4 linked regions of the Tamandua tetradactyla genome follow. The protein of the gene in region 1 purifies or fractionates together with the protein of each later gene. This does not show direct contact. Links are inferred from orthologs where the notes say so. Each region holds a gene or a part of one and is shown in the gene's direction. Other genes may lie near its edges. The genes, in order: HNRNPM, U2AF2, LMNA and DDX39B.

What was found.
Region 2: the proteins of HNRNPM (region 1) and U2AF2 fractionate together in Homo sapiens (co-fractionation; 4 studies listed by BioGRID, with this or other methods). This does not show direct contact. The link is inferred for Tamandua tetradactyla from reciprocal best matches to the Homo sapiens genes HNRNPM and U2AF2.
Region 3: the proteins of HNRNPM (region 1) and LMNA fractionate together in Homo sapiens (co-fractionation; 3 studies listed by BioGRID, with this or other methods). This does not show direct contact. The link is inferred for Tamandua tetradactyla from reciprocal best matches to the Homo sapiens genes HNRNPM and LMNA.
Region 4: the proteins of HNRNPM (region 1) and DDX39B purify together in Homo sapiens (affinity purification with mass spectrometry; 4 studies listed by BioGRID, with this or other methods). This does not show direct contact. The link is inferred for Tamandua tetradactyla from reciprocal best matches to the Homo sapiens genes HNRNPM and DDX39B.

What each region holds. Positions count from the first base shown.
Region 1 is NC_135337.1:84,875,403-84,883,195, forward strand, and holds the start of HNRNPM (heterogeneous nuclear ribonucleoprotein M), read left to right. Parts: upstream 1-4,743; 5' UTR 4,744-4,794; coding exon 4,795-4,907; intron 4,908-7,793. Other genes in the region: E3 ubiquitin-protein ligase MARCHF2, read left to right, coding at 708-866. UniProt on the Homo sapiens protein: Pre-mRNA binding protein in vivo, binds avidly to poly(G) and poly(U) RNA homopolymers in vitro. Involved in splicing.
Region 2 is NC_135342.1:4,094,900-4,102,500, reverse strand, and holds the start of U2AF2 (splicing factor U2AF 65 kDa subunit), read left to right. Parts: upstream 1-4,502; 5' UTR 4,503-5,478; coding exon 5,479-5,527; intron 5,528-7,601. Other genes in the region: CCDC106 (coiled-coil domain-containing protein 106), read left to right, coding at 630-660, 779-886, 977-1,153, 2,334-2,522, 3,010-3,326. UniProt on the Homo sapiens protein: Plays a role in pre-mRNA splicing and 3'-end processing. By recruiting PRPF19 and the PRP19C/Prp19 complex/NTC/Nineteen complex to the RNA polymerase II C-terminal domain (CTD), and thereby pre-mRNA, may couple transcription to splicing.
Region 3 is NC_135330.1:9,116,823-9,124,624, forward strand, and holds the start of LMNA (lamin), read left to right. Parts: upstream 1-4,727; 5' UTR 4,728-4,886; intron 4,887-7,802.
Region 4 is NC_135331.1:87,132,217-87,139,547, reverse strand, and holds the start of DDX39B (spliceosome RNA helicase DDX39B), read left to right. Parts: upstream 1-4,105; 5' UTR 4,106-4,236; intron 4,237-4,340; exon of another isoform or gene 4,341-4,747; intron 4,748-5,023; exon of another isoform or gene 5,024-5,095; intron 5,096-5,547; 5' UTR 5,548-5,683; coding exon 5,684-5,894; intron 5,895-7,331. UniProt on the Homo sapiens protein: Involved in nuclear export of spliced and unspliced mRNA. Component of the TREX complex which is thought to couple mRNA transcription, processing and nuclear export, and specifically associates with spliced mRNA and not with unspliced pre-mRNA.

The sequences.
Region 1 (7,793 bases):
TGTTTGCACTTAGCTCGTGTCCTTTAAAAAACACACAGCCGCCTAGCAGTATTGTACGGATGTACCATATTTATACAACCAATCCCTTTTGACAGACACCGGTATTCTTTCCAATGTTTACTTAATTTTTTTTTCCCCGTTACGAACAATGCTTTGAGCACCTGTGCAAATGTTTCTTTGGATCTTGCTTGCTCGGTCAAAGGGTATGAACCATCAACTTTCTTTCTTTCTTCTATTTTTTTTTTTTTACTTATTTTGAAATAATTTCACACTTTCAGGACAGTTGCAAAACTAATAGAAACCCTTACAGAGAACTCCAGCATATTCCCCCCACCCCACCTCTAAATACACCAGCTTTTAACATTTTGCCACCTTTGCGGCATCGTGAGCCACTGCCATCTCGCCCCTCCTGTGGGGCTGTATCACATCGCACCCACCCATTGAGCAAAGGGGGTCCTCCTTGTTCCCCTGCTGCAGACACCCCCATACCCTGGCAGGACGCTGAAGTCCGGTGGGGAGTTTCCCAGGAGAGTGAGTGACTGAGTGGTGGTGGGTGCACAGAGAAATGCCCAGAGGCTGCCTCCCCTTCTGACCGCATCAGCCCTCCCCGGGTGCCGGCCAAGGCCAGTGCCACACGGTCCCGGGTTCCCTCCTGTGGGAGTGGAGGCCAGTGTGGCCTCCCCGTCCACTTCGGCTCTGTCCCGCAGGTCTCCTTCCGCTACCATTGCCAGCTCTACTCGGAGTGGAGAAGGACCAATCAGAAAGTCCGCCTGAAGATCCGGGATGCGGAGGGCTCCGAGGGCACCCAGCACTGCCCACTCGCAGCTGGACTCCTGAAGAAGGGGGCAGAGGAGACGCCTGTGTGAAGGTTGAGCCATCAGGGCCCCCGCGCTGGGGGATGTCCTGGCATTTGGAAAGATGGAAACTGCCCGACCCTCCCCACATGGCCAGAACGCTTCTAGGGCCAAGAGACACCAGGTCCTGTGTGAATCACATTTTCAGCTTTTTTTGCACTCTGTTGTACACGACGAGAAGGACAGACGGATGTGGTCTTAAGCTCCAGACAAAGCGTGCACCCTGATCTCATCCTGAGGTCCACTGGGCACCTTTTCGGGCACCCCCCTCCCCCTGGCCAGGAGGGTCTGGCCAGCTTTTCGCGCTTCTCTACACCCAGCGGACTCGCTTTCCTGGCATCCTCGACTTTATAAAGTCACACTGAGTTTTGAAAAAACCTACCCCAAATGAATAAAAGGCACCCATGCTCGGCGAAATGGACTCATCGTTATGTTTCTGAAGCAAGGTCTCCAAGACAGGGACGTGGGACCCTTCTGAAGCAAGGTCTCCAAGACAGGGACGTGGGACCCAAAGGCAGTTGGGCCACCCGGAGGTAAAAAGGCCTTCAGCTTGTTCTGATGGATCTGTCATGGAAAAGGAAGAAGCAAACTCTGAGCTTTTAAGGGAAGAGCAGGTAGTGGGGTTATATAATAAATAATCTTAAAAATACATGCAAGAGAACGGTGTCCACTTATTTTGCATCTTTCATGAGCCAGATAAGGCGCCGGCCCCTTTACACTTGCTAATAGCTGCTGGTGGTGATGTCCACACTTTATTAGGCCCTCCAGGATGGCGTCCACATCTGGGCCTTCCCATACACCATCCCTCTGACTCGCACAGCCACCCCTGGTGTCGGAGTGGGGAGAGAACAGGCATTACCTCCGTTTACAGGTGAGAAGGCTGGGCAGGAAAGCATTTGGCTAAGGTTTTCCCTGGCTGTGGGAAGTGGAGCTGGGGTTGCTTCTCTGCCTTCCAAGAGGCCGTGGGGTCAAAGCAGAATGCGGTCATGTTGTCAGCAGTACCCATGTACTGAGCATTTTCTGTGGGCCCTGCTCTTTACATTTGAGGCCTCCTTGCCCAGGGCTGCATTTAATGCTTCACAGCAGCCCTGAAAGGCAAATTCTCAGGTTCTGTTATTCACCCCATTTGCAAACAGAGAAACTGAGGTGCAGGTGGGGTCCCAGTTCCCTGAGGGGCCTAGCACATCCTATTCATAATTGAAATGAAACTTCCTACCATTTTATGAATCCCAGCCTGGTACCCCTTTCTGCCCTGGACCTGAAAGGGAGAGGGAAGCAGCAGAGAAGAGTAATACAGGTGTAGCCAACAGAAAGGGGCAAAGGCTGGGAGGCTGGACGCTGCCTGGCAAGTAAGGAGGAAGGTGGCAGACCATGAGGCTGGAGTGTGTGACCAAAGGGCAGAGAGACGTGGCCAGACAGGCGGGCAGAGCCCCGTAGAACTCGGGTGACCCATGCAATGTGGTCTGCCAAACTACAGAATCACACCCTACTGCTATCTCTCGGCTGCTGCTCTAGAGCTGCACACTCTACAAAGACCCAGTCTCCTCTACCACCTCCCACCACCCTGTCAGTCCAACTGTGGGGTGCAGCACTCCTGGATGTGATGTAAAGAGGCTCCAGGACATGCCATCAGGAACAGAAAATGCCATTTCCTCTGCAAATCTCCAGTATTAGAGCTTTCGATTATATCAAGGAGAAAGTTTTAATTTGGTACTCGGCTGGGGTTTTTGTTTATTTGTTTGTTTACCTTCCCTTAAACTTTTGAATTTGAAACCATTTCAAACTTACAGGACAATTGTAAAAATAATACAAAACCAATACAGAGAATTCCAACACCTTCCTGCATACCCAGATCTGTTCATGTTAACATTTGATGACAGTTTCTGATCATTCTATAATCCATCTCTCTCTCTTCTAAACATCTGAGCTGAATGTAGGCTGTATACATCATGTTCTTTGAACACATAGTATTTTCATAACCATTTCCTAAGAACAAGGGCATATGCTTACGTAACCACCTTAAATGCAGCTATCAAGTTCAAGACATTTCACATTAATTCAAAGCCTACATGATAATTTAATTTTTCATGTGTCCCGATAATGTCCCTTTGAGCCTCTTCTTCTCCATTTTTAGACTCACTCCAGAATTTCTGGTTGTATTTATTGCCATTGTCTCTTCAGTTGCTCTTTTTTCATTTTTCTAAATTATGGAAACATATTCAACATAAACTTTCCCATTTTAACCACTTCCAAACATACCATCCAGCGGAATCAGTCACATTCATGATGTTGTGCTGCCCAGAATTATAATTTAATAACATTGTCCTTATTTTTTTTCCTTATTATTGACAATAACCTATCTATAGTAAGTTTTCAATATGTGTGGTGTTACAAAGCAAAATTTCCAAATATATTTCTTTTAAGGAAAAAAAAAAGGAATGTTGATGTAAAGGTGACTGTGAAGGAAATAAGTCAGGATATGTCAAAACCCAGGACTCTGGGCAATGCTGGGTTAAGTCAACTAGCTCATGGGAGTTCAGCCTTGAAGAGATTTTGCCTCCTCCACCAGGGCCTGGCTTGTTCTTAATCTCCAGTCACACCCATGCTGGGAGAAATGATGAGAGAGGTGGCGTTTTGTCCCTGCTGCTTTGCTCTCTGCCACCTCCTCTGGACCCTGCTGGGCACAGGAACTCAGGGATTTGGGGGCTCCTACTGTCCCAGGGGCCCTTCCAGTCTAGGGTTGGTATGGATGGGATAGGGGACTCTAAGAGAGAAGAGATTTTGGAAAGGAAGGGGGAGAGAAGGAAATTAATTCTGTTACCAGGGTGAGTTTAGGAAATAAGTGGGAACGGAGCTGGAAAGGTTTAGCCTGTTTGTCAGACTGAACTACTGGATTTAATCTGTAGGCCTAGAGTTCCCGAACTTGAGTTAGAATCAACAGGCAGAAATAAGCAGCTAGGAGGGTGTGGCAGGTGAAATACTGCTCCAGAAGCTTATGAGAGAGGGGGAAAACCCCCATCTTTTTCCCTTGGCAAGCCTAGAAAGAGTTTGGTGGTTGGATGGCAACTTCTTCAAGAACCAGTGAAACTTTTCAAAATTCCAAAGACACCAACCAGGGAGGGAGCTGCTGGGTAAAGGAGCCGGAGGCCTCTGAGTGTATCTCTAGGCACCAACCATTATCTCTCCCAGGACACAGTCCCCCATAGCAGTCCAGAACACACCAGATTGGGTACAGGTCCCACACTTGGCAGGGTAGCAGGATCAAAGAACTCCTATTAAGCTTAATGGAATCTTCTGGTCTATGGCTCATCGTTTCCATCATGTTTTGAGTTTTGCTTGTTTATTCATAAAGAAACAGGCATAAGCACGTAGTCCCGATGTGTTCAGTGAGAGAGACTCAAGCGAGGGGCTTGGAAGCCAGGAGCTCCCAGCGTGATCGGGGAGAGCGACAGGAAGAGCACAGCTACTTATAGTGCGGAATGTTTCTTGCTCTGAGAGATGGCGCTTTTCACACCTGTGCTACTTCCCAGACTCTTCCCGTCCTGCCCTCCTTGCCTTGACTAACTCCTTAACGTTCTAATAAATCTTCCAGGAACCCTCCCCAGACAGAACTTTCGCTGTCTCTTTGACCCCAGCTCTGCAGGAAGCTGAAAGTGACAAGGTCCGGGTGGGGGGAGGGGGCGATGTCTCCCCTACTAGATTTTGAGGCCGGGTCGGGTAGCCCTAAAGTGTCTACTCCAAGTTTATTGCGGGAATGAATGAATAGCACCTGCCGGTACGCGCCTGCGCGAGGCAGGGGGCGTGGCTCCAGGGGGGAGGGGGAGCAGGCGGGAGCCTGCGGCGGTGCGCGCAGGCGTTACTGGTCGCTCCGGGTCACGTGAGCGCGCAGGCGCAGCGTTGCTCAGCCCGCTCCCTCACACAAAGCCCAGACGCGGAGAAAATGGCGGCAGGGGTCGAAGCGGCGGCCGAGGTGGCGGCGACAGAACCCAAAATGGAGGAAGAGAGCGGCGCGCCTGGCGTGCCGAGCGGCAATGGGGCTCCGGGCCCTAAGGGGTGAGTATTTCACTGTTTTCTGCACCGGGTTGGGTCCCATCGTGGCGGCCCGCGGCCTCGCGCCGGCGGCTCCGTTAGGTCTGTTGGCGGCCTCCCCACCGGCGCGGCCTCGGTTTCGGCCCGGCCCTTCCCCGTGAGGCCTACTGAGAGCGGAGGCGACTCCAGGAGCCCCTCCAGGGTAGTCCCTTGCTCCCAGACCTCGGCCTCCCCGCCTCCAGCCCTTGCTGGCGGGGTCCGACCACGATGCTGAGGCCTCAGGCCGAACCTTGGCTCGCGGCAATGATGGCGCGGGCTCCGGAGCCGGAGAGCCCAGGGTCCGAGGTCGGCTCGGCTCGGCTGCTCGCAGGTCAGATGACCTTGGGCGCGTGGTTTAGCCATTCAGCCATCCACCCACCCGGGGTCTCAGTTTCCTGATCCGTAAGGTGGGGGGAGGGGAGCGAGTGCACGCGAGGGCCCAGACCCCCGCTTGCCGTCAGACCCAGTGAACGGTGGCGGGGAAGGGGGATGGTGTCCGGCAGGGCCTCGAGGCCGGGTCGGGGCGCCCCCCCGCGCTCCGCTGCTTCTCCTTGGGCTCGCCCCCCCCCCCCCCCCCCAGCCCCGCGGGAAGTGCCTCGCTCGGAACCGCCCCTCGTCCCACGCTGTGGCCCAGGCGCTAGGCGCTGGTTGCTTCCCGCTCGCCCTCCCCAGGTGCGCAGTAGGTATTTGTGAAGTGATCGGACTGGCTGCTTAGCGTTCGTTCTTAGAAACAAAAAGTAAGGGAGGAAAAGTCCTCTTCCGTATAGCAGAGAGATTTTTCGTCATTGAGGGGGAACTTATAATTCAGAACCCGTAACCTTTTTCGAGTCCAGATCGGGGCTCGGTCTCCTGTCTCCCTGGATTTTTAAGTTTCCCCGGACTCCCCCCCGCACCAACCCACTGATTTCAGATTATGTTCGTTTGAAAGAGAGAAGCCAAATATCAAATATGTTTCGGCCCCAACCAGTGGTCTTGGGGTGAGGGAAGGAGAACTGTGGGCGCACATTTGATTTCCCCCAGATTTGCAGTATGATTAACGTAGAAATTGGGTTTTCGATGATTGATTTCTGGGAATTAAGAGAGCGAATGTAAAGTGCTTATGTTAATGAGCGCTCAGTAAATGCCAGTCATGTTGTTAGATGGGGAAAAGTTCCAGGGCCTTTCTCTCCTTAGGTAGGGAGAAACGAGATGTTTCTAAAAGTGAAATTTGTTTTGGACCACCACCGTGGTTACTGGCCTCAGATATCAAGAAAGAATTGTCCTTTAATTATTCCCAATACCTTTACTTTCGACATCGTGGGAAACGGATGCTCATTTCAACTTTTGAGGGCCTATTTGAAGGACTTTAATATACATTTATGTCCTGTTTTGCTTTTTCTCTTAAAGCAGTTATCAGCAGTTCATAATGGAGTGCAGTTTAGAACTATGCCCAGTCAAAGATTGAGTTACAGGTTTATCATCCGGGGTACATTTTTAAAAATTTCCATTTCCCGCTATTTTCAAGTAAATAGTATTTTGTGACCTATAAATTTGACAAACATAATGTGTGGACTTTTAGAGCCTTAAAGTAGAGCTAAATCTAGGATTGGCTTAAAAGAAGGATGTTTGAAGCTAGCAACGCTTAGATGTTTTTTGTAAGACCAGTGGAAAACTTTTTTTGCATTATGTAGCTCATGAAGCAAAGCTCTTTAGAAGTCCATCTCTAGAGGATGGCCGAACTTTTTTGCATTGTGAAGCTCTTGAAGTGTAAAGCTCCTAAAAAGTAAGATGCGCAGAGGAAACAAGTCTGAGGAACACATTTTTAGTAAGGTGTGTATGCTGTGATAAAAACAAGTGGGGTGCCATGAGAAGGAGCACAGAGGAGCGTTTCCCCGATCCTAGCTAAAGAGGAGATGGGGATGGCTAAGAACTTTGAATTTTTATCTTGAAAACTGTGAGGGATGGGAAGTGAGTGAGAAAGTAGAAACTTGGTTCTGATCTTCTCTGTGGCCGCCATGAACCCTTGGTGTGAGCTTGTTCTGCAGTTTTTTCCTCCTGGATGTGGAAGGAGGTGGTGTTTTACTCTGATGAGACATCTGTTCCAGTCAAGATTCAAAGTCAGAATATATTTAGTCAGGGAAAAAAATAACTTTTTTTAGAGGAATTTATAGGTTTGATTTTTGTAAAGATTATCATATATATTTTTACCATATATATTTAAAATTATTGACTTACTTCCTTTCCAGATTAACTTTGTGGCTGAGATGGATTGGGTTTTTTTTTGTTTTTGTTTGTTTTTTGGTTTCACACATTTAATTTTTTTTTAAATAGGTTTTTTAAAATTAAATTTTTTTAAACATAACAACATACAAAAATGAACATTCTTACCTTATGATCATTCCATTCTTGATATATCAGTAACTCACAATATCATCACATAGTTGTATATTCATCACCATGATCATTTCTTAGAACATTTGCATCAATTCAGAAAAAGAAAAAAGGAAAAAAACTCATACATACTTCCCTCATTGATTACTAGTATTTCCATCTACCCAATGTATTTTAGCCTTTGTTTCCCTATTTTTAGCTACACCCCTTATCACTCCCTTTCATTGATCACTTGCATTTCAGTCTTCTACATTTATTTTAACATTTGTTCCCATTTATTTTTAATTCCTATGTTTTACTCGTCTGTCCATACCATAGATAAAAGGAGCATCAGACACAAGGTTTTCATATGGATTGAGTATTTTAAAAGTTGAAATTCGTGGTTGTACAGAAAGATCCCTGGGGAGGTGATGTTAGTGTTAACTCTTTTATAGTTGAGGACACTTTTTTTCCCCCCACAGTAGTTGAGAAAGCTCAGGAATTTGACCCAAAGCCATTTCT
Region 2 (7,601 bases), on another chromosome or scaffold:
GCTCGCGGGTGGGCGGACGCCTCCCTCGCTCCCTTGACACTTTGCAGACGCTCCCCGGCGCCGGGAATGGGCGCCGCTGCTGCCGCTGGTACCCCGGCCGGATCCCGCGCGCGGGTGGGTGATCGCGGGCACCCCGGCCTCTCGGACCCCAGGCGCCTGTGGGAGGGGGGTGGCGCATGTCCCCAGGTGTGTCTCGCCCACCACCGTACCCCTCCCCCCGCGGTGCGCACGCGCCCAGCCCCCACCCTCCTCGGGAGAGGGGTCCTGCCCACCCCTAGGCGAGAGCGGGGGAGGGGCGTGGGGTGCCGGCGGGCAGGGAAGGCGCCGCGCGTGGGTCGGACGCCCCCTTCCGCTGTTGGCTTCTTGACCCGTGGGGAGGGTCCTCCTTCCGGCCGGGGTGTCCCTGCTCTCGACCCCATGGCAAACCCAGACATTTCGCGTTCCAGCCCCTCTTCCCTCCACGCGCCCGAGTCCAGGAGTTCCCATTTCAGTCCTCGAGAGTCCGGGCCCCCCCCCCGCCCCCCCAGGGTGGACCCTGCGAGCCCATCCTCGCCCCTCTACCCATGGCTGCCGTTTCTGTGCAGTGCCCCTGAGGCGCTCCGCTGCCCGGGTCTGCCCCCAGCCGCGCCATGAGTGATCGGAACAGCCGGAGGAGGACAAGTGAGGAACTGGGGCCCCCTCCCGACCCTTGGTCCCAAGGCCCACCCTTCCCCCCAGGGTAGTGCGGTTGGGGGCTGGACCGCAGATTTCCCTGGGTGACCCCGGCTTCTCCTCTCAGTGAAGAAGGACGATGAAGCCTTGGAGATCTCCATCCCCTTCGACGAGACGCCCCACCTAGACCCGCAGATCTTCTACAGGCTGAGCCCATCTCGAGGAAACTTCGAGGGTGAGCTAGGGCCGGGCGCGCAGGGCCTCGAGCCGGTGGCACACCAGGCCGAGAGGCCTGGGGTGTGATGCCGCCGCCCCGTGTTCCCAGAGCCTCCGGAGGCGGCGTCCCCCACCCTGGCCCGGATGCACGGAGTCAAGGCCCAGCTGCACTTGGCCCTGGAGAGGAACTCGTGGCTGCAGAAGCGCATCGAGGACCTGGAGGAAGAGAGGGACTTCCTGCGATGCCAGCTGGACAAGTTCATCTCCTCAGCCCGCATGGATGCAGGTGGGCAGGGGGCTGTGACCAGGGAAGCTCCACTGAATCGGACCCCTCTGCCACCCACCCTCCTCAGGGATAGAGGCGTGAAGCCCCCCTCCTGGGTTGGGTGCATCATGTCTCCTGGTAGCCAAAGCTCTCCAACCCTGTTTGCCCTGGCGGCCCTTTCCACTGTTCCAAGTCTCCTATCCCTGTCAGCCCCCGCAAATCTTGCCCACCCTGACTTCTGTGCCCTCAGGCACTCCTCTGCTGGGGTTCCCTGGGCACTTCCACTTCGCAAAGACCTGGAGTCCAGACCTCCAGCGTCTTCCCATGCCCAGCTTGATGGTCCCGACTGTCCCCTCCCCTTGGCTAATTAAAGCTCCTTTCCTACTAAAGACCCTAGATCCCTTCCTGGCCTACTCACCCTTCCCTAGTGGAGCCTCAGGTCTTACTTGACGTGTGTGTGTGTGTCAGCATCTGTTATCCCTCCAGACCCTGCCCAGCTTCTCAGCACACCCCCTTCTGTTGCCTGGTTCTATTTCATAGCCAGGAGCTCTGGGGTGAGCTCCTAGAGCTGGCCCACCCCGCAGCTGGCCCTCCCTGAGGCTGAGCCCCCTGGCTGCCTGTCTTCTCGTGGGCCAGGTCCTCTGGTGTCCTTGGGTCACCAGCTCCTACTGTCCTCAGGAACAGCTGAGGGTATCCCAGCTAGTGCAGCCCAAGGGTGTCGGACTTTCTCTGGGGACCCCGGCTGGCTCCCTGTCTTAAAAGCAGTGGCCTTTCCTAGCCAGTCAGACACAGGGGCCTGTGATTGCCAAGGCCTTGCCTGCCCCAGGGGCTCCACTCTTCTGGAGGGACTGCTAGGGTCCCCAGAAGACCCCCTCTCTACTATGGGAACCACCTGTGGCCACAGCCCTGCCTTGTCAGGTAGTCCTTACCCAGAGGCCTCGGACACCCGAACTCTTCCCCTCGCAAGCCTCTTGCAGTTGTCCACTGAGGCACTGGCCAGCTTTAGGGGCCCTGCTGAGCCTCTACAGCCCGGGTGCCTTGGAGATGATGCTGGCCCTTGCAGGAGACCCTCATTTCGGGAAGTCCAGCCTCTTCCCTTCCTGGGACCCAGAGTTTCCCACGGGAAAGGTGGCGAGGCCTCGTGCCTTCTCTTCCCTCCCCCTCCCGCAGCTCACGTGTCTCCCTCCTCCTGTCCTCCCAGAGGACCACTGCAGGGGGAAGCCGGGGCCCCGGCGGGCTGAGGGCGAGGCGTCCGAGCCCGAGTCCGCGGGCTCGTCGCTGAGCGCAGGGTCTGAGGAAGGCAGCTCCAGCGAGAGGAAGAGGCAGAGGCAGAGGGGAGGTGCCACTCGGAGGCGGTTCGGGAAGCCCAAAGCTCGGGAGAGACAGCGAGGTAGGTGGGGCTGGGGTGGGGCCGTGGGCACCTGCACAGTGACCTTCGCAGAGGCCCTTCCCGGCAGGCCGCCGTGTCCCCCCCGTGAAGAGATCAGTCCTGGGGTACCTGCCAGCTTTGACGGCTTGTCATGACGGAGCCGAGAGCTGGGGGGAGGCTCTGCTCTGCTCTCTTCCTCCGCACTCCGGAGCCTTCCTTCTTCAGTTCCCCATGGTTCCACTTCGGTGTCTTGTCTCCTTCTCCTCTAATTCTTCCATCTTTTTATCCTCCTGCTTTCCATCTTGTTCACCTGCCCTTTCCTGTATGGGGCCCCTCGTCCCTGCTTCTCCCCTCCTGGATCCTCCTTCTCTGACTTCGTTCCTTTCTTCTGCACGCACCCTTCACGCCCCCCGCCTTTCTCCACCGCATCTCGGAACCCCGTCTGCACCTGTGTACCTCTATGTCTCCGGCCCCTACAGCTCTGACTCTCTGCCCCCCGCCCCCGCAGTGAAAGACGCCGACGGTGTCCTCTGCCGCTACAAGAAGATCCTGGGCACCTTCCAGAAGCTGAAGAGCATGTCGCGGGCCTTCGAACACCACCGTGTGGACCGCAACACCGTGGCGCTGACCACGCCCATCGCCGAGCTGCTCATCGTGGCGCCCGAGAAGCTGGCCGAGGTGGGCGAGTTCGACCCCTCCAAGGAGCGGCTGCTCGAGTACTCCCGCCGCTGCTTCCTGGCCCTGGACGACGAGACGCTCAAGAAGGTGCAAGCGCTAAAGAAGAGCAAGCTGCTGCTTCCCATCACCTACCGCTTCAAGCGGTGATGCCCCCGCTCAGCCTGGCCGGGTTCCACACGGCTACTCTCGCAGCCCCTCCAGCCCTGTCCCCTCCTCCAGCCTCCCCAGCACCCGGGCCGCGACGGGAGAGGCGCACCTCTCTCCTCCGCCTCTGCAGCCCCTCCCGCCCCAGGTGCTCGCGTACACAGGTCTTCCCCTCCTAGCACCCGCCTTTCTCTCTTTCTCTGGGCTGGGGTCTCACTCAGCCAGACTCTGAAGAGCTTACTGCCCAGAGGGCTTGTTTCTGCCCTTCCCTAAGCACTGGTGTCCCTCTCCAAAAAGAAAGTCTTTGCACTTGCGCTGCACTCATCCTGCCCTCGCCGGGCACCTTTCCTCCTGGGAAAACTGGGAGGCGCGCTCTGGGAGTGCCACCTTCTCTCCTAGCGTCTGGAGGGCCTGTATGTACCCGTCTCCACCCCCATCCGCGAGAGAGGCTGGCCGGACCCCTCCCCGGCCGGGAGCTCCCTACGCATCTTCCGGACCACCCTAATTCCCTGTGAGAAAGAGAATTATTCAGAGAATTTAAATTAAAGAGAGACGACAAAATTTGGAATAAACCAGGCCCTAGCCTCTTCCTAAGAGGGGGTGGCTGTTGCCACGGAAACGCTGACGGGGGCTCAGGGGGTTCCAGGGAGCGGGCGGTCGGGCGGGAAACGGGGAGATGCGGGAAGACAGGCTGTAATTAGACCCCCGGAGGCAGAGGCGGGAGGGGAAGGAGCAGCTGTGCCCCCAGGAACTCCGAGGGGGCAGAGCTCCGGAGAACAGGCGTGAACCCTAGCCTCCGTGCCATTTGGAAGTAGAGGCGCCGCGGCAGGAGGCGGGACGCAATGACCTCTAGTCCAAGAGGCCACCGGGGACTAGGGACTCTTTGGGAGGACGCTTCCGCACGCCCGCAAGGCGGCGATAGCGCCAGGTTAGCCTTCTCCCGGAAGTGGGCGCTTCGCTGCCTCCTGCGCCTGCGCACCCGGGATGGAGCGCGCTTACGCAGTTGCTAGGGCAACCAGGGGAAAGCGGCCGGGCTTAACGGTTGGGAATTGGGGACCTTTTCGCGCACCCGCGCAGAAGGTTCTAGGCATCCGTCTCCCTACCCAGGCAGAGAAAATCTCGCCTCCGACCGACCTCTACGCAGGCGCACAAACCGAACTCGCGCCCCGCCCCTTCCGCCCCGCGCAGGCGCAAAAAACCGCGCTGACAACTCCGCAGCGGCCGCGCGCACCCTTCATCTCGCTGCCTGCTTTTGTCTCGCGCAACCTTTTCGGCCCATCCGCGAGATCGTTCCTTCTTTTCTTCTGTTCTCCCCACCCGGAGAGCCAGGTGTGGAGAAGTGGGATTCCGCCCCTTATCGCGTCCTTTCCCTTGACCCACCTCTCCTCCGTCCTCCCTCCCTGATCAGTTTCCGAAGCTGGAAGGAGCCGAAGCGCCGACGGAAAAAGCCGAAGCTGTTCATCGCCAGTGAGGTCTTCCCGAAACGGCCGCGGAAGGAGCCGAAATTCTCCGAGAAGGGAGGAGGGTGCGAGTGGAATTTCCGGAAAGAGCCGAAGCTTGGAATTGCGCGTAATCGCTGGCGGAGCCCGAAGACGAGCGCCGGGAACCTTCGGAAAGTGCCGAAGTCTGGGACGGTTAGGATTGTCGGAAGTAGCCGATTCTTTCCAGAGGGCAGGCGCAGACCGGGGGTATCTGCGGAAGGAACCAAAGATTGGGACAGTTTGAATTGTCGCAAGAAGCCGAACCCTTAGAGGAGGCTGAGAGTGGAGGAACGTGAGGTCCTACGGAAAGACCCGAACGTTGAAGACCTAATCTCAAAAGTTACGGGAGCCTGGGAAGCCGGCAAAGCCCTCGCTTCGGGGGTTTTCGGAGGCAGCCGAAGCCGCCACTTTCCGACCCCTTCCTCTGCTGTCCGGAAACAGCCGACGCATTTCCGAGCGAGGCTTAGGGGGCGGGGCAGTTCGCGGGTTGGCGGGCGGGGACAAGGGCGGAGCCGGGGCGGGGCGGGGCGGGGTTCCGGGTGCTTGATTAGGTAGGAGACAGCGAAGCGCCGGCGGTGGCCGGAAGTAGCCGAAGCAAGCGGCGGAAGTAGCCGAAGCGGGCGGGCAGCAAGGCGAGGCGAGAGCAGCACAGGCCCCGACGCGGCCGCCTCAGCATGTCGGACTTCGATGAGTTCGAGCGGCAGCTCAACGAGAATAAGCAAGGTGAGGGCGTTGGGGTCATGGGGCGACGGTCGGGGCGGCTCTCCACTTCCCTCCCTGGCCCCCGCCATTTTCTCCCTCCTTCCCCACCTCCTCCGAGTGCCGCGCGGTAACCCCCCCCCCCGCCTCCGCTCAGCGGCGCGCGCCTCGCCCACGTGACCTTTCTCTACGTTCCGCCGCGCGCGCGGCGAGACGAGGGGCGGCGGGCGCGGACCCGTGACGCATGCGCGCCGCTGCGTCTATTCCCTCGCCCCACGTGGCCCTGGGCGGAGGCAGTGCGAGGGACTGGGGCGCAAGCTAGCGAAGTGTCTTGAAGCGACTACTCTTTCCCGTAAAGGAGTTGATATTAGGGCCCGTAATCTCTTCTTTTTCTTCCCGCTGCCCTAGCACTTCCGCTTCCGGTTGGGTCCGCTTCTCAGTCTCCACGCCCCCTTTGTTTCCAAAATGGCGTCTGTGCGCTCTTCCCCCCCCCCCTTCACGTGGGCCCTATGCGTTAGGCCCTTCGCCCGGCTGCGTGGAGGCCGCGCGGCTCTGTCTCACTCCTTTTGCATGATTTCTGGTTAAATTTGCCTGTCAGGGTGTTTTTACCCTCCTCCCGCCATTGGTCGTGGGGCGCTTATTTGACCCCTGCTCCTTCGTGTAAGTACCCCTCTCGCAAGTACATTTACACACGTGGGGACTTCTGGCAGTTCTGGCAGTACCAACATGGAGTGTTTATCTTCCATCCTTTCCCCACTTGAGAGAAGCCCCAAATCCTGTTGTGCCCCTACGCTAAGAGTACCCAGCCTCGGCCTCTTGTATCTTAGCACAGAGGTAAGGAGACAGGTTCTGGGTAAGAGTGACCTGGCCTAGGTGGGTAGAATTGGGAAGGGTGGGACAAAGGTGCCCTTCAGGTGGCGCCGAGGCTTGTGACGGTTAGAACAAAGTACGGGGCTGTGCTGGTGCTGGTGCTGGTCAGGTTAGGAAATTCAAGTATATTAGACTTTGGGGGAGTTGGTAGGTGACTTCTTGTACTTCCTGTCTCCCTAGTTTGGTTTAAGATTGAAGACTTAGGGAAGACTGAGGTTTTGGTTCTCTTGGTGCTTGAGGCTTGAGTTGCCCATGTCTCTAGTTGGAGCCTTTTCTCCTTCAGTTCTTCAGAGGACTGGACTGTATGAGGGTTCAGGAATTCTCGTTTGAGCCTAGGCTGGACTTGGATGGGTGATGGCTGGGTTAGGATCTAGTGCCTGGGGAAGGGAATAACGTTTACTGAGTATTCACGGTATTTATATTTCATACTGCTTAAAAGTACAGGCTGTGGAGTTAAGTACACACCTGGGTTCAAATACGTGCTTGGCTGTTTAGTAGCTGTGCTACTTTAATACTTTTGTACTTGACTGACCATCGTCATTCTACTGTCATAGGGACTTCGAGAACATTAATACGAGTGGTAGTAATAATAGTTGTGGTTAAACTCAGTGCTTACCATGTGCCACACACTTTTTTAACGCTCTTTGTATGGTTCTTCTAAGTGCATCCTTGTAAGGGCTCTGTGAAGCAGAGATTTCCTTCCTTTTGTAGAGGATATGGAGGCTCAGAAAACTTAGACTTTACCAGATCTTAGGTGGTCAAAGATGGCTGAGATTAAACGGGTTAACATAGGTAGTTTGGTGTGTGCCTTGGCATATGCTAAGTGCCCAATGGATGACATTTGTTATTGTGAAATCATGGCCAGCACAAGCTTCTACTTAGGCAGATCTCAGCCTACTCCGGGATTGGGTCAGAGGTGGAGAAGCACGGGGAAAGGTGCTTTCCAAATGCTATCCGGCCAAGTCCTGACCCTTCCTCAAGAAGTGCAGACTAGGTCTTTCCGCTGTGTGCTTCTGTGTGGTTGGTGAGCAGAAAACGTGATGTGATGTTGAGCTCTGACTGGCTACAGGGCCATGTATCCATTCTGCTGTGCATGACCGTGAAGTGGTGCTGCCTGAGTTGTTCCTTGAGACTCTTGAAATATGCTTCTTGGGTTCTCCCAGAGTGACCCCACTGGTTGGGGAGGCCAGGCCCTCAGACCTGTCTTGTTTCCTGGTTTGGTGGACCT
Region 3 (7,802 bases), on another chromosome or scaffold:
GGGTGGGACGGGAGACGAGGTCCCTAATTTTTTTCAAGAGGCCGGCGCGGGGAGAGGGGGCAGGGTACGGAGGCGTTGAGGGTCTGTAAAAGGTTAATGCAGCGCCCGCCCTCCGCCGTGCGGTCTCCTTCCCCAGCCCCGCAGGTCCTGGGTCCCTCTTTTTTATGGTAATGAGGGGGGAGGGGCGGGGAGCGGTCCGGGCTGGGTCGCTGCGGCGCCCCCACCCCCCACTCCCGGCCTCCGGGCCGCGCGCTCCCTCCGCTCCCCGCCCCTCGCGCTCTCCCGGGGTCGATCCCGGCTCCCGGGCGCGGGGAGCGGCTCTCGGCCGAGCAGACAAAGCCCGCAGCCGCGATGACGGGCTGGGGGTGGGTGCGGGGGACCCGGCTCTGCGCGCGGTGCGGGCCAAAATGGGGTGCCGGGCTGGAGGGCTGGACCCCCCTGGCAAAGGACACGATCCTCTCGTCCCCAAGCGGCGAGCCACCCCCACCCCCCACCCCGTCTCCAGTCTCGGAGGCATCGACTTGGAGGTAGGTGAGTTCTTTCTCGGCCCTCTGGTGGGTGGAAGAGGGTCAGGAGGGCCGTGGCGCAATGGAGTGAGGAGGACGAAGGGGGTGAGAGAGAGGGGAGAAGGGGGACGCAGGCATGGCAGGGCTTAACAGTTTTGGGTGAGGGGCTTGAGCTTTGGGTGCCACGGAAGGAGGAGAGGCTGGGGGTGGACTGGGGACCCAGGCTTCCTTCATCCTGGGCCACGAATACAGCTTGGGAGTGCTCAGTCCTTTAGCCGTTTCTGTCATTCCACTTTTCTTCATGCATCTCTCTCCAGTAATTCAGCCCCTTTGACTCTGGAAATCTGGTGAAAGTGAAAATAAGTTTTTAAAGCTTAAACTGGGTGATTGCGTACTTTTAGAGATAGTTTGAGGAAGTTGGAACATAATGCAGTCTTTTCTCCTTCTACCTCATATCTTCGGCATTTCTTTTGTCACCCTTTTTATGCCTACGTCTTTCCCAAGAAAAGAGTTTGTACTGCAGCTTGACGGTCTGAAGTCAGACTTTAAGAAGGACTTCCCAAAAGAGGAGTATAAGAGCGGGTGGATGAGCTACAGTGGTGAGGTGTCCTTTTCTGGAGTGTCTTGGAAACCGAAAATCTGAACGGGTTTGTGAAGTAAAGCCCTGTTTGGAGGCAGGGGAATGAATGAGATGACCTCATAGATCTGGCAGTAGGAGGCCTTGAGAGCTGAGCTGCACAGCAGAGTTCCCTAAATTAATCCTTATCCCCCGGGTTGGGGAGGTGTGCCCCCAGCTCAGGGATTTAACATAAGATTATTGACAAGATGAACAACAACGGATGCCACCCCACTGGGTGACAGTGGTAGAGGAGGATTTGTAGCGACAGGAACTCGGGGAGTGGGCTCTTCCTGAAGTTTGTCCCCTCTCTGTCTGTCCCAGGGACCTGGATTGGGGGAACTGCGGTACTGGGGATTTGGGGCTTTCACTAGGAAAAGTTCCCACTCTGAGGCCCAGGTGACTGTTTTTCACACTAATAGAAATAGCAGAGTTGTACCAGGTGTCTTTATGGGGCCACCAGCTGATTTGAGCCTTCTTGTCCCCACCGAAAGGAGTCTCCCACTCCAGACCCCCACCCTGAGTTTGCCCTGCCTCCACTTTCCTCCCTGCTAAGCTAATTAAAGCAGGAGGTTAATGACCAAAGAAGCCTTGGGGATTTGCCCAGCGAGGAAAACAAAGGACAGAAACAAGTGTGTGTGAGTGAGGTGGGGACAGCTGCTGAATGGGAATAGGGAAGGGCTGAGGGGCTGGGTGATGGAGGCGGGGGTCCCTCCTGGACCCACATTACTGATCCAACAGCAAGGATGACTCAGCCCCTTGGGTGTGTCCAGGCACCACGTGTCCACCCTCAGAGTCCCAATGTGACTCCAGACAAACATCCTTCATTGCAGGAGAGAGGTAGACGTGGACCTGGCACCCTGGAGGGCAGGTGTGCGTGTGTGAGGGCACTTAAGTAGGTGGCATGGATGTGCACACATGGGAGTCTGTGCTTGGGATCACGTGTGTGCCTGCAGATTGTATATGTGTGTATTTGGGGGGTTGTGCACAGCAGGGAGTACCACAGTGCCCAGACCATAGGGGAGCCCGTGAGTGGACACCTTTACGAGTGGGGCTCGCAGGGTGGAACTTTGAGGGGTCCCTCCCATGCTCCCTGGGGCTGATGGCCTCCTTTGTTCACCAGACCTCGTTCTCTCCAAACAACACATTTGTGCGCCCACACTGGGTTCCTGTCCATGGGTACTCCTTTGTCTTCCTACTCCTGCTTGCCCAATCTATAGTTATGCTGATGAGGGTAGAAAGCCTTACTTAAACAATTTGCTTGGAAACGGCTTTCCTTATGACTAGAAAGGTGTGAAGGTGCCGTATCTCCCCCTTCCAGGACCTTGGAGGGGAAGACTGTGTCTCTCGTCTTTGTCATTGTCCCCCTATTCTGGCTCCCCAGTGCCCAGCACACAGCCCCGACTAGAGCAGAGACTCCAAAAGGATAGATTGAGTGTAATTGCATGTGTGAAGTCTCAGGTGTGAGGGGGAGGAGGCTTCTGGTTCTTGAGCAGTCATTTAATGCTCAGCCTCAATTTCCTCACCTCCAAATGGAAATAATAAGCCCAGTCCCTAGCACACTGCCTGGCTCATCCTAGGCGTTCAGTCAGTGTTAGTTTCCTTGCCTGGTTGTTCTTACCTCGAAGTTGATTTTAGCCGAGTTGTGGTCCCTGTTAGTTAAGTTGCATACATTCATTCATTCAGTCATTCAGTCGGTCAACCAATTCCTATTGAGCTCCTAATATGTGCCAGACACTGGAAGAGATGCTCACCCACTATGAGTTACTTGAAGTCAGTTCTAGGTCTAGACTTGCCAAAATAAGATCATCCCAAACAGCAGATAATTCCAAAAATAATTTCTATGGAGTACTGGAATGCAAACTGTGTCTCTGTCTCTCTAACACTCACAGACACACACGCATACACACAAACACACACACACACACACACACACACAGGCCAGGCTCCTGTCTCAGGTCTGGGGAACAAAGGACTCAGATGAGTAGCCTGAGTGTGCATTGTGTCTGTACAAGTGTGTGTCTGGGTGTGTGATAGCCTGGTTGCAGGGCATAAACTCTCAAAAGTTGCGAGTGGAGTGGTGCAGGTTTCACGTGGAGCCTGGAAGACAGGTGTGGTGTGTATGACCCAGACGTGGGGGAGGGGTGTCTCTATGTGGAGTTGCGTCCATTCTCTTGGAGGAAACCATGCACCAGTTGTCACTGTCCAGACACCAAGTACCCGGGATGGGGGCACACACCTAACGCCTGCCGCTCTCCCATCCTATGCTCAGAGTCCCTGGGGAGAGAGGGAGGCACACGAAGCCACCACCAAGGCTGCCCTACCAAGCAGACAGGTCCTTAAAGGGGTCATCTCATTCATCTCCCTATTCCTACCGGGATGCCTTCTTCCCCATCTTACTTAGCTGAGCCTCTTCTTCTATGCCTTATGGGGTTCCCATTTTTCTTTTCTTAATATCTCTCCTTTGTGGGAAGTCCACCCTGCTATCTAACCATCATCCTTCCTGCTGAGAGCCAGTTTCCTCTCCGTTACTGGACCATGCTCAACTCATTAAATAATTAATAATCAATGAGAATGTAAGAATATATTGGGCAAAATTCTGTAGACTACATAAAAGATCTTGATCCCTGCCTTCCATGAGCCACAGAAAGTAGCCTACATAACTCAGAAAACATGGACAAACAGGATTAAAAGTGGGGGCAGAAATGGTCTGTGGGACTGGGGATTAGAGGGAAGAGTCGGTCACCGTGGCTCCTTCTGTCACTGTGGACTTGATCTCCAAGGGCCTCGAGGACCCAGTTTGAGGTTTGAACCTGGACAAACACACCTCCTCCTTCCCTGGGGCCACCTCAGCCCTCCCCCTACAGATCCCCTGCACGGTCTGATTTCCCCAGGGACAGTAGCTTAGAGGGGCTGGAGTGGAGCCTGGGTCCCCCAGGACAGCTGGTTAACAGGGCCCCTCTGGGACTCAGCGCTGGACCCAGGCGTCCAGGAGGCAGGTGATACTGGAGCTGTGACAGTTGGTCCCCAGATTCCTCACCCAGTGGCGCCAGCTCTGGTTTCTGGCTGAGCGAGGGAAGGGGAGGTACCTGGTGCCAGTCGGGGCTGGTTGCCCTCTGGGGGCAGGGAAGGGGAAGTAGTAAACATACCTTGGTAGGTTGTTGAGGAGGGATTTTTCTAGTACCCTCCCTGTGCCAGGCACTGTGCTAAGTGTCATCAGGGGATATTGAATAAGACACAGCCTGTCACTGCTTTTAAGGGGTTCACAGATGAACTGATGGGTATAAAAGACATAATCCCTATATGGAATATCAGAGCTGGAATAGAAGTTGAATGAATGAGTGAATGAATGGCTTCATCAGTTATCTAATGGCTTCATTTTACAGAGGAGATTGAGGCCTAGAGAGCTCAGGCCCTGTGACTTCCTTGTGTCTTCTGTTTGATCAGGCTTCCTTTTCAGGAAAGGGAAGAGGAAGTCAGAGAAAGGAGTGGAAAAGGACCGCTGTTTCCTGAGTGTCTGTTTGGTGCCACTCTTTCTCCTTGGCCCTTACAGACCTGATCTTATCTAATTCTCATCACAGCTCCGGGAGGCTGGAGATGCTGTCTTTGCTTAACATTCCACCAAGAAGGGAGTGATCACTGGAGCTGGGAGAAGCTTGGGGAGACTTCCTGGAGGAAGCAGATTTGAAGGAGTCCTTGAAGAATGAGTGAGATTCATTCAAAGGGAGAGAATGAGAAGAATGTCTGGAGGTCCAGCACCCGAGGTACTCAGGGAGGATTCCCGGTGGGGTGGCGTGTCAGCTTGCCTGGGGAGCAGGGGACAGATGGAGGAGACACGTGTTTGCCGCCAGGTGGCGCTACTGGCCAACCACTGGCTCCTGTCCGGGCTCTGACACTAGGGCCCTGGTGCCCTGCCCTCCCTGCTCAGGTACCATCCCTGGTTTCTCCCACGTTCTATGCTTCCGGTAGGGCATCCCACAGTCGGGGGACCAAACAAAGGCTACCGGTTTGTTTCTGATTCAGGAGACAACCCATGTGGCTGAGACCTGGGCATCCCCATGGGTTTGACCAGCTCCCTTGGCTATCCTGAGTCCCCTCCAGCTGCCCTCCTGTGTCCCTTCTTAGCCCAGGGGCTAAGAAAATGGTCATTTGAGTCCCAACCTCCCTACTTATTAGCTGTGACCTGGGCCACTGTTAATAGTATCTACCCACTAAGGATTTTAACTTTTCATTCAGCAAGTTTACATTGAACACCTACCATGTCAGATATCCTTAGGCACTGGGGATCCACCAGAGAACAAGAACAAAGGGTTGATATTCTGTGGGAGGGGAGAGGCAGCTAGTAAACAAGTAAATAATGTAATTCCTAGTAATGATCTCCACTGGTGAGAAGAGCGAAGCAGGATATAGGGCAGGAAAGTTAGAGGTGGGTCATTTCGGCTGGTGATGTGGTAAGAACCGAAGTGGACATATAGGGCACACAGCATGATGTCTGGGCCTGGGTTAGCCAATGTTACTTTTTTTAATTTCCTTTTCCTCTTGCTCTACCCCATCCCCACGTCCCCCTTCCTTTATCCCACATTCTCTATACCTTTTCCCGGTAGCCCTAACAGGGAAGAAGGTGGTGCTGGCCGAAGAGCCAGGAACTCTGAGTTTTTAAGTCTTGACTCTGCCCCCAGCAGCCCAAACCCACTCCCCTGCCAGTGCCCCCAGCTTCTGGTAAATGACACCACTGTCCACCTGGTTGCTCACGTCAGAAATCTGGCACCATCTATGATCCGTCCCTTTGCCCTGCCTCCCTCCCATCCAGTCCACCACGTACTCACAGCTACAGCTCAGAATACTCCCCCAGACCACCGACTTCCCACCTCCACCGCTACCGCTGTGCTGCAGCCACCATCGTCTCTTACCTGCAGTAGCCTCTAACTGGTCTCCCTGCCTGCACTCTTGCCCCTTCCTGCAGCACCCTCCAATCCCCACCTAAAACCCTGCAGTCTCCTACCTAAAGCCCTACAACAGCTCCTATTGCCATTAGATTCAAAACAAAATTCCAGCCGGTCCAGCCTCATTTCTCACCTCCTCTCTGCCGCTGACACCGCCCCTGCCCCCAATCCTCTTCTCCGGCCACAGGGACCTTCTTTCAGGTCTTTGAACACACCGTGTTCTCATTATCCAGCCTTTTCCTGTGTTTTCCCTTCCATCTGCTCTTCCCTCACTTTTCACCTACCTGAAGCTTGGTCATCTTGCAGGACTTAACTTAGATGTCACTTTCCCTGGGAGATCCCCCGTGGTCCTTTTTGGGTGTCACTCGCCTTTCATCACACTATATTGTAAGTGCCTTTTACATTTCTGTTTCTCCTAGTATACTGGGAGCTCCCTGAGGACAGGGACTGGAGCTGGTCCACTGTATTCCCAGCACCTGGCACAGAGCCTGGCACACAGTAGGTGCTCAATAGATGTTTGTTGTTTGGAAGCTGAGCCTGCTTATCCTTATGTTCCCTCCACCCGCCTCCCCTGCTAAATATTCACCTCCTCCCTCTGCTTTTCCACATCCCCCACCCTCCACACCCAGCTTTTACCCTTACCCTCACCTGATCTCCAAGTGGGTGCTGTCTGCATGGTGCTTGGTGGATACTGTGCCCTCTCTAGCCCCTGGTCTGGGGCCTTCATACACAGCAGGAACTCAGTAATGGTGCCGTGTCACTGTCATGAGTTTTTGATTGATGGCTCAGAGGGAATTTCTAAGTCTGTAAACCCCTCCCCTCAGTCACCACTCAGGCACAGTAGGACTTTGAGTGTGCAAAAAAGGATACGGGGATCCCCTGGGGCTGGCAGGCCCTCTGCAGAACCCAGGCCTTCGCACACATTATTCCCTCTGCCTTGAATCTTCTCTCCCCAACTCATCTTGGCTATCTCCCACTCATCCTCCAGATGTGAGTTTAGGAGTCATGTCCCCCAGGAGGCCTTTCTGACCACACTGATGGGCCTCAGAGCTCCCCGAGTCTGCTGTGGGCCCCAGTACTTTCCTTTGTGTTTGTGCTTAGCCCACAGAGCTGCCTGAGCTTGTTTAGGTCGTCTGCATGTACACCAGACTGCACGCTCCCCCAGTACAGGGGATGTGTTCTCCAGTGCCCCGCACAGAGGAGGCCCTCAAAATTGCTAAGCAAATGATTGATTGAATGAAGAAAACTGCCATGTGACCCTGAACAGGTCACTCCATGTCTTCAGACCTTAGTTTCCTCTTCTGTAAAGTAGGGACAGAAGAGCGTAGGGCAGCGGTGTGCCTGCGAACGTTTACTGAAGGCCAAAGCAAAAAAAGCCCTGGGGTGTCGCATTTGCCGATTTCCTTGGTGTAAATTCTTTCACTGTGGCTGATTTCAAGCTACCAACTTGACATCACCGAAATGTACAGAGCTGGGGAGAGATGTGGACACCGGCTCACCACTGCAGATGGAGTGGCTGGGACCAAATGGCTTCCAAGGCGCTTTTTAGCAACAATCTCCTGGCCCTAACTGCCCCCTGCCCTGCTCCCCATGTCCTCGCCTACCCTGAAGACTGGAGGTCAGAGGTTAGTCCCTGGATTCCTATCCCAGCTCCCCACTCTTATTACCTCCCCAGCACCTCCAGTTCTTTCTTTTCTTTTTTTAAATTTTTTATTAATTAAAAAAAATTACAAGAAG
Region 4 (7,331 bases), on another chromosome or scaffold:
ACAAACACAAATATCCTTACCATATGATCATTCCATTCTACATATATAGTCAGTAATTTACAATATCATCACATAGTTGTATATTCATCATCATGATCATTTCTTAGAACATTTGCATCAATTCAGAAAAAGAAATAAAAAGAAAACAAAAAATTCATACATATCATACCCATTACCCCTCCCTTTCATTGATCACTAGCATTTCAATCTACTAAATTTAATGTTTGTTCTCCCATTTATTTATTTTTAATCCATATGTTTTACTTGTCTGTCGATAAGGTAGATAAAAGGAGCATCAGACACAAGGTTTTCACAATCACACAGTCATATTGCGAAAGCTATATCATTATACAATCATCTTCAAGAAACATGGCTACTGGAACACAGCTCTACATTTTCAGGCAGTTCCCTCCAGCCTCTCCATTACCTCTTGACTAACAAGGTGATATTTCTTTAATGCATAAGAATAACCTCCAGGACAACCTCTCGACTCTGTTTGGAATCTCTCTGCCATTGACACTTTATTTTGTCTCATTTCTCTCTTCCCCCTTTTGGTCGTGAAGGTTTTCTCAGTCCCTTGGTGCTGAGTCCTGGCTCATTTGCCAGGAAGGTTCACAGCCCTGGGAGTCATGTCCCACGTAGACGGGGAGGGCAGTGAGTTTGCTTGTTGTGTTGGCTGAGAGAGAGAGGTCACATCTGAGCAACAAAAGAGGTTCTCTAGGGGGTGACTCTTTTTTTTTAATTTATTTTTTATTTATGATACATAACCATATACAAACATTCTTATCGTATGATCATTCCGTTCTTGTTATAGAATCATTAACTTACACTATCATCACATAGTTGTATATTCATCATCACGATCATTTCTGAGAACATCTGCATCAATTCAGAAAAAGCAGTAAAAAGAAAACAAAAAAATTCATACATAGCATACCCCTTACCCCTCCCCTTCACGGATCACCAGCATTTCAATCTACTAAATTTATTTTAACATTTATTCCCCCTATTATTTATTTATTTTTAATCCATATGTTTTACTTGTCTGTCGATAAGATAGACAAAAGGAGCATTAGACACAAGGCTCTCCCAACCACACAGTCACACTGCGACAGCCATATCATCATACAATTAGAGAGAGAGAGAGAGAGAGAGAGAGAGAGAGAGAGAGAGAGAGAGACCACATCTGAGCAACAGAAGAGGTTCTCTTGGGGGTGATTCTTAGGCCTAATTTTACATAGGCTTAGCCTATCCTTTGTGGGGTTAAGTTTCATATGAACAAACCCAACAAACCCCAAGATTGAGGGCTTGGCCTATTGTTTTGGTTGTCCACACTGCTTGTGAGAATATCAAGAATTCTCCACTCGGGGAAGTTGAATTTTCCTGCTTTTTCACCATTCACCCAAGGGGACTTTGCAAATTCTTTTTTATTCACTGTTCAGATCACCATGGGATTTATTGGGACATCACTCTGGTTAGACCTACTCAAGGTTCCATGTACTGTGGTGCTCAATTAAGCTGTCCACATAAGTTATATTAGGAAATGCACTAGTCAAAATATAAATTTTGTACCAAATAAACATTTTTTGCTTTAGTCTCACACATAAGTTAAAGTTTTAAAATATTAATTACCATCTATTTTCAACACCCTGCAGTATTGACATTCCTTTGTTCTTCCTCATGCAAAAACATTTTTTAATTTGTACATTTAGTTACTATCATTGTACAATCTAGGCTTTCCTGGATTATATCATCTCAGTCTTTATCATCTATCTTTCCTTCTGATTTCATTTGTACCCCCAGGCCTCCTCCCTCTATCATTCTCACATTCAGCTTCACTCAGTGTTCTAACATTATTGTATTACAGTTAAGTAGTATTGTGCTATCCATTTCTGAATTTTTACAATCAATCTTGTTGCACAATCTGTATCCCTTCAGCTCCAATTACCCAATATCTACCCTATTTCTATCTCCTGATGACCTCTGCTCTTAACTGAAATTCTCCAAGTTCAGTCACTAATGTTAGTTCTTATCAGTGAGACCACACAGTATACGTCCCTTTGTTTCTGGCTAATCTCACTCAGCAAAATGTCCTAAGGTCCATCCATGTTGTTACATACTTCATAACTTTATTCTGTCTTACAGTTGCATAATATTCCATCATATGTATACCACAGCTTGTTTAGCCGCTCGTCTGTTGATGGACATTTGGGCTGTTTCCATCTCTTGGCAATTGTAAATAATCCTTCTATAAACATTGGTGTGCAAGTGTCCGTTTGTGTCCTTGCCCTCATGTCCTCTGAGTTGATACCTAGCAATGGTATTGCGGGGTCATATGGCAATTCTATACTTAGCTTCCTGAGGAACCACCAAACTGCCTTCCATAGGGGTCATACCATTTGACATTCCCACCAACAGTGGATAAGTGTGCCTGTTTCTCCACATCCTCCCCAGCACTTGTTGTTTTCTGTTTTATTGATAATGGCCATTCTGGTGGGTGTGAGATAATATTTCATTGTGGTTAAAAATTAAAAAAAAAATTTAAAAAAAGCAATAAATTTCAAAGCACACCACAAGAATTAGTTATAGATTTCAAAGTCTGGTTTGGGTTACAGTTCAGAATTTTAGGTTTTTCATTCTAGCTGCTCCATGACACTGGAGACTAAAAGAAGTATCAATGCAATGATTTCAGCACACTTATTTGTTAAACCCTATCTTCCCTGTTATAGCGCCTTCTTCTCCTTTGATCTTTCTCTCAATCGTTAGGAGTATTTCCACTATGCCCATTCTAATTTTTTCATGTTGGAAAGGGTTGTCGATAATATGAGATTGGGGGATGGAACAAGTTATGTTACAGAGAAACTGGCCCCTCTGGGTTTCAGGACTTTTCTGGCCTTGGAAATCGTCTGGAGGTTGTAGGGTTTCTGGAAAGTAATCACAGTGCATGGAACCTTTGTAGAATCTCAGATAAAGCCCTAAGTTTAGGGTTGGCAGGAATGGTTTTGGTTGGGGTTTAGCAAACCGGAAGACAGGTCTGCTTCACCACCTCACTCACCAATAAGGTAATCAATCCATCGTGTAATTATTAACCCCTCTCCCTCTTTAAGAGGTAGGCAGGATACAATGGAGGTAAACAGACAGGTTCTGAAAGTGTCCACATCCTGGCTCTGCCACGTTACTAGATGTTACTTTGGACAGATTGCTTTACTTCTAAAAGCCTGTCTGCTTGTGTATAAAATGGGAATAGTGAGGTTACCCTTGTTATCTGTGATAACAGGTAAAGAGCTTCTTTAGTTCAGGGCCTGGCCAAATGATTGTAGTCATTTTTGTTAAGCAGTAGGACATCACGTTTAACTTCTGTATTATTTCAGACGGGTGTCAAATGTTTCATTCAGAAAAAAATCCGGCTGAACAATGGGGCTGGTCTGTGTGTGTCTGTGGCGATGGTGGGACGACTAAGAACATTCTGGTCGAGTTAATAATTATGGAGTTTTCTGTATCTCTCAAGCTCAGGGTAGAATCTAGACTCCTATCTTCCATTCAGAAGATTCAAGACATCCTTCTGATTTTCAACCCCGTCCATCAACCTCAAGGCCCTTGAAAAATCAGCTACTGCGACAGCACAATTCTGGGCCAGTGTCTCCCATTCCTGCCCTCCGATTCCACCGCTGGGGAGTGGATAGGGCTAGGACTCCTGAGCACTATATTTCATTCCAGTTCCTTAGACCGCCTCTCCTATCCCTAGCAGGGGGCTTAAGCTCGTAACGCGAGCTCAGCCGCCACCAGGTCACCTTGATGACCGGGCCAAGGACCCCGTGGGAACTCACAGTCCCCAACGCTCTCACCCATCAAGCACCCACGATGTAGTGCCCAGAGAGAAGACCTGTGTGACAAGAACCTAAAAAGAGAGACAAGGGACGTAGAGAAGAGTAGGACAAGAGAGAAAAGTTAATAATGGGAGGGGATATTGGTTTCCGTCATGCACGTTACTACCCGCAGTAACCGAGAAATTAGAAGTGGCGTCTTAAAACAATTTTAGACAGGCTTTTTCCAAAGGCAACCTCCATGCGTGCGGAACTATAGAATCGCGGAAGGGCCTTCATTCGCTCCCGTGCGCCTGCGCGCTGACAGCCGAGAAGGCGGGAGGACGAGGAGAAGGAGGCCGCCGACCGGAAGTGAAGGCAGATTCTCTTCTTCGTAGCTGTTGCCGCCGCCATACGCGCCCGCCCTGGTCAGGTAAGCTTCGGTCTTCGGTATTATCCACCTCCATCCGTACTTTTTTCGCAGCCATTTGGTCTCTTGGGCTCCGGATAACTATTCCACAGGTGACAGTCTTGTCGCCGGGGCTTACTTGGATCGTTATTTCCGTTTTCTGCGTCTCTTTTGAGAGCAAAGATCTTTTGGGGGGAGGCCGGAGAAGCTGGGGGTGGTGGTGTGCAATCCAAGATGGTGGCCCCGGCGCCATTGTGTTTCTTTTACTTTCGGGTCCTCCTTGGGTGTCTGGCTTATCAGAGGCCCCAGCTCTGATATGAAAGAGGCGGTGCTAAGCCTTTCCTGGTTTGGGCCATTTACAGAGGGCGGGGCGCTTTTCAACTTCCCCCTTTCCCCTTCTCCTCGGGGCCCTCTTTAGGCCCGCGGAGGCAACAGGGATAGGAGCCAACTTCCGGCCTCTGGTGGATTTTTCTCACCTCGACTTGCCTGCCCTTACTTGAAATACTTTCCAAATGTTTACGAATGATGTCATTGTGTAAGTGTTTCTCCGGAAGGAATCTCCCTTGCGGAGTAGTACAACGATGATGTGTGGCCATTTGGTGAAGGTTCTATTAAATTTGGAGTGAGGGTACTTCTTTCCCGTTTAATAATTAGCATCTCATTCAGCGTATGATAGAGAGATGACTTTTTTTTCCCCTGACTGAGTCATTTCTTAACCCCCGCCATTAATTACACATTGATTTTTTTTTTAAGTGGCAAAAGGAGGGTATTCAGGAATGAGGGGCTGGAGAAATCTCGGGGGAGGATGACAGCCACATGATGTTTTTCATTTTGAGCGCTCTGCGCCTTGATGACCTTTATCTATCACCCTTGACTGATGGCTGCTGTCTAGGAGGTTCACACCTTGAGATAATAGGGAAAGCACAAGGTCTTGCCTTGAGGACTTTTTAGGAATTTTCATCTTCATTCTCTATACTCCACCCCTCCCCCATTCGCTGTATTTTTTTTTTTTAATTATTATTATTCGTTTTCCCTTACTATGTTACTTACCATCTAGAGTTTATAACTGGTCTTCCTCCTCCAACTTCCTGATTTCTGCAATTCTGATCCTAGTCATGCTGGCAATCTGTGTCCTAAACGTATGTCCTGGAACCATTTTTTCCATTCCTTGTATTATAATTGCTTTTCACTTTTATGTTTTTTGTGTGTTTTCTTTCTTTCCACATAAAGGCTTCATGATTTAGGGAAAGAGAAGGATGTGGGAATGAAGACTTGAGGCTGTGAGGGCTCTACTCATGACTGATATCTTCCATCTTTATTTTTTTTTTTCCCTAGCTCTTCAGTCAGAAATTAGTGTCTTCCTTTTCCTCTACTGTTCCCCAGTCCTCTACTCTTTCTTCCTTGATTTCATCTATTCTGCCTGAACCCATCTAGAGACCCCTCCTCCCCTTCTACCCCTGCCGGCCCAGTCATGGCAGAAAACGATGTGGACAATGAGCTCTTGGACTATGAAGATGATGAAGTGGAGACAGCAGCTGGGGGAGATGGGGCTGAGGCTCCTGCCAAGAAGGATGTCAAGGGCTCCTATGTCTCCATCCATAGCTCTGGCTTTCGTGATTTCCTGCTCAAACCAGAGTTGCTCCGGGCCATTGTTGACTGTGGTTTTGAGCATCCATCAGAAGGTAATTATTCACTTGGGCATAGAGTCCTCATTCGTTGTGCTCTTTAGAGCCACAAGAAACATGTGTTTATGGTTTCCCAGGTGATAAGGTTTATATATGGGATAGGCCAAAAAGTAAGGAAGTACTAAAAATGATTTTAGCAATAGAAGAGATTTGCATAGATTAGTCTCATTCATGGTAACACGAAAGTGCTAATGATCCAAAAGTAGCATAGAGATCTGTCACTTTTAAATTTGTTATTTTGATGAATAAAGGTTGGTTGGACTTTTAATCCTCCTATCTTGGGGCCAGTTCAGAGCTCTGGAAAACTTTATGTCTGGTCTAAAGATGACTGGTTTCAAACACCAACCAAATCCATTCCTGTCAACCCTAAAGAACACTTCGGGCATTATCTGAGATTCTCAAAGTTTCCATGCACTATGATTACTTTCCAGAAACCCTACAACCTCCAGATGGGTTCCTACGCCTATTAAGTCCTGAAACCCAGAGGGGCTGGTCTCTTTAGAGTGTCAGCTAGTCCGTTCCCCCTGTCCCATATTATTGACAGCTCTTTCCAACATGAAAAAATTAGAATGGGTATAGCTCAGATACCCCTGAAGACTGGGAGAAGGATCAAAGGAGAAGGTAGAGTTATAACAGAGAAGATAGGTTTTAACAAATAAGTATGATTGCTGAGTCGTTAATTGATATTTCTTTTAGTCTCCAGTGTTTTGGAGCATCTAGACATAAAAATCTAAAATTGTGGAATTGTAACCCATACTAAACCCTAATATCTGTTCTACAACTAATTTTTTGCAGTGTGCTTTAAGATTTATTGCCCTTTTATTTATATGTTATTTTTCATAGTAATTAAAAAAAAAAAGATGGCTGGCTTCTGGGTCAGGTACCAAATCCGTTTTTTCTGAGGTTGCAAGGTTATGTGACTCAAAGCATGGCAACCTAAGTGGGAGAAAAGGCACTCAAATGTCATGTATTGTTACAGGTTAAAGGAAATAAGGACAGAGCCAGTAGCACCAAAGGTGAGCTGTTTCTAGGTGCAAGAGGGTTATTAGTGGCACTAGGTAGTCTTGGAGCTGGAGGAGCCAGGGAGGTGGTTTGGGGATGAATGTGATTGAAAGGGCCTGAAAGTTGACAGGAACCAAGAAAGGTCCTTGGAAACTTTTTTTATTTTGTAATATAACATAAATACAAAGCAACGAAGGAAAAAAGTAATAATTTTCAAAATGCTCTTCAACGAGTAGTTATTGAACATAACACATAATCTAACTCTTCCTGTCTGGGTAGATCATTCCAACAGTCCAAACACAGGGAGCCCAGAATAAGAATGAGAGCCTTTATTCCTGTAGAGCTTAATGTAATGCCTGGATGTATTCTAGAGTATATTAAACAGATAATCAAAAAGAATTGGCAAAGTCTCGTGAGGGATGTGAGAGAAAT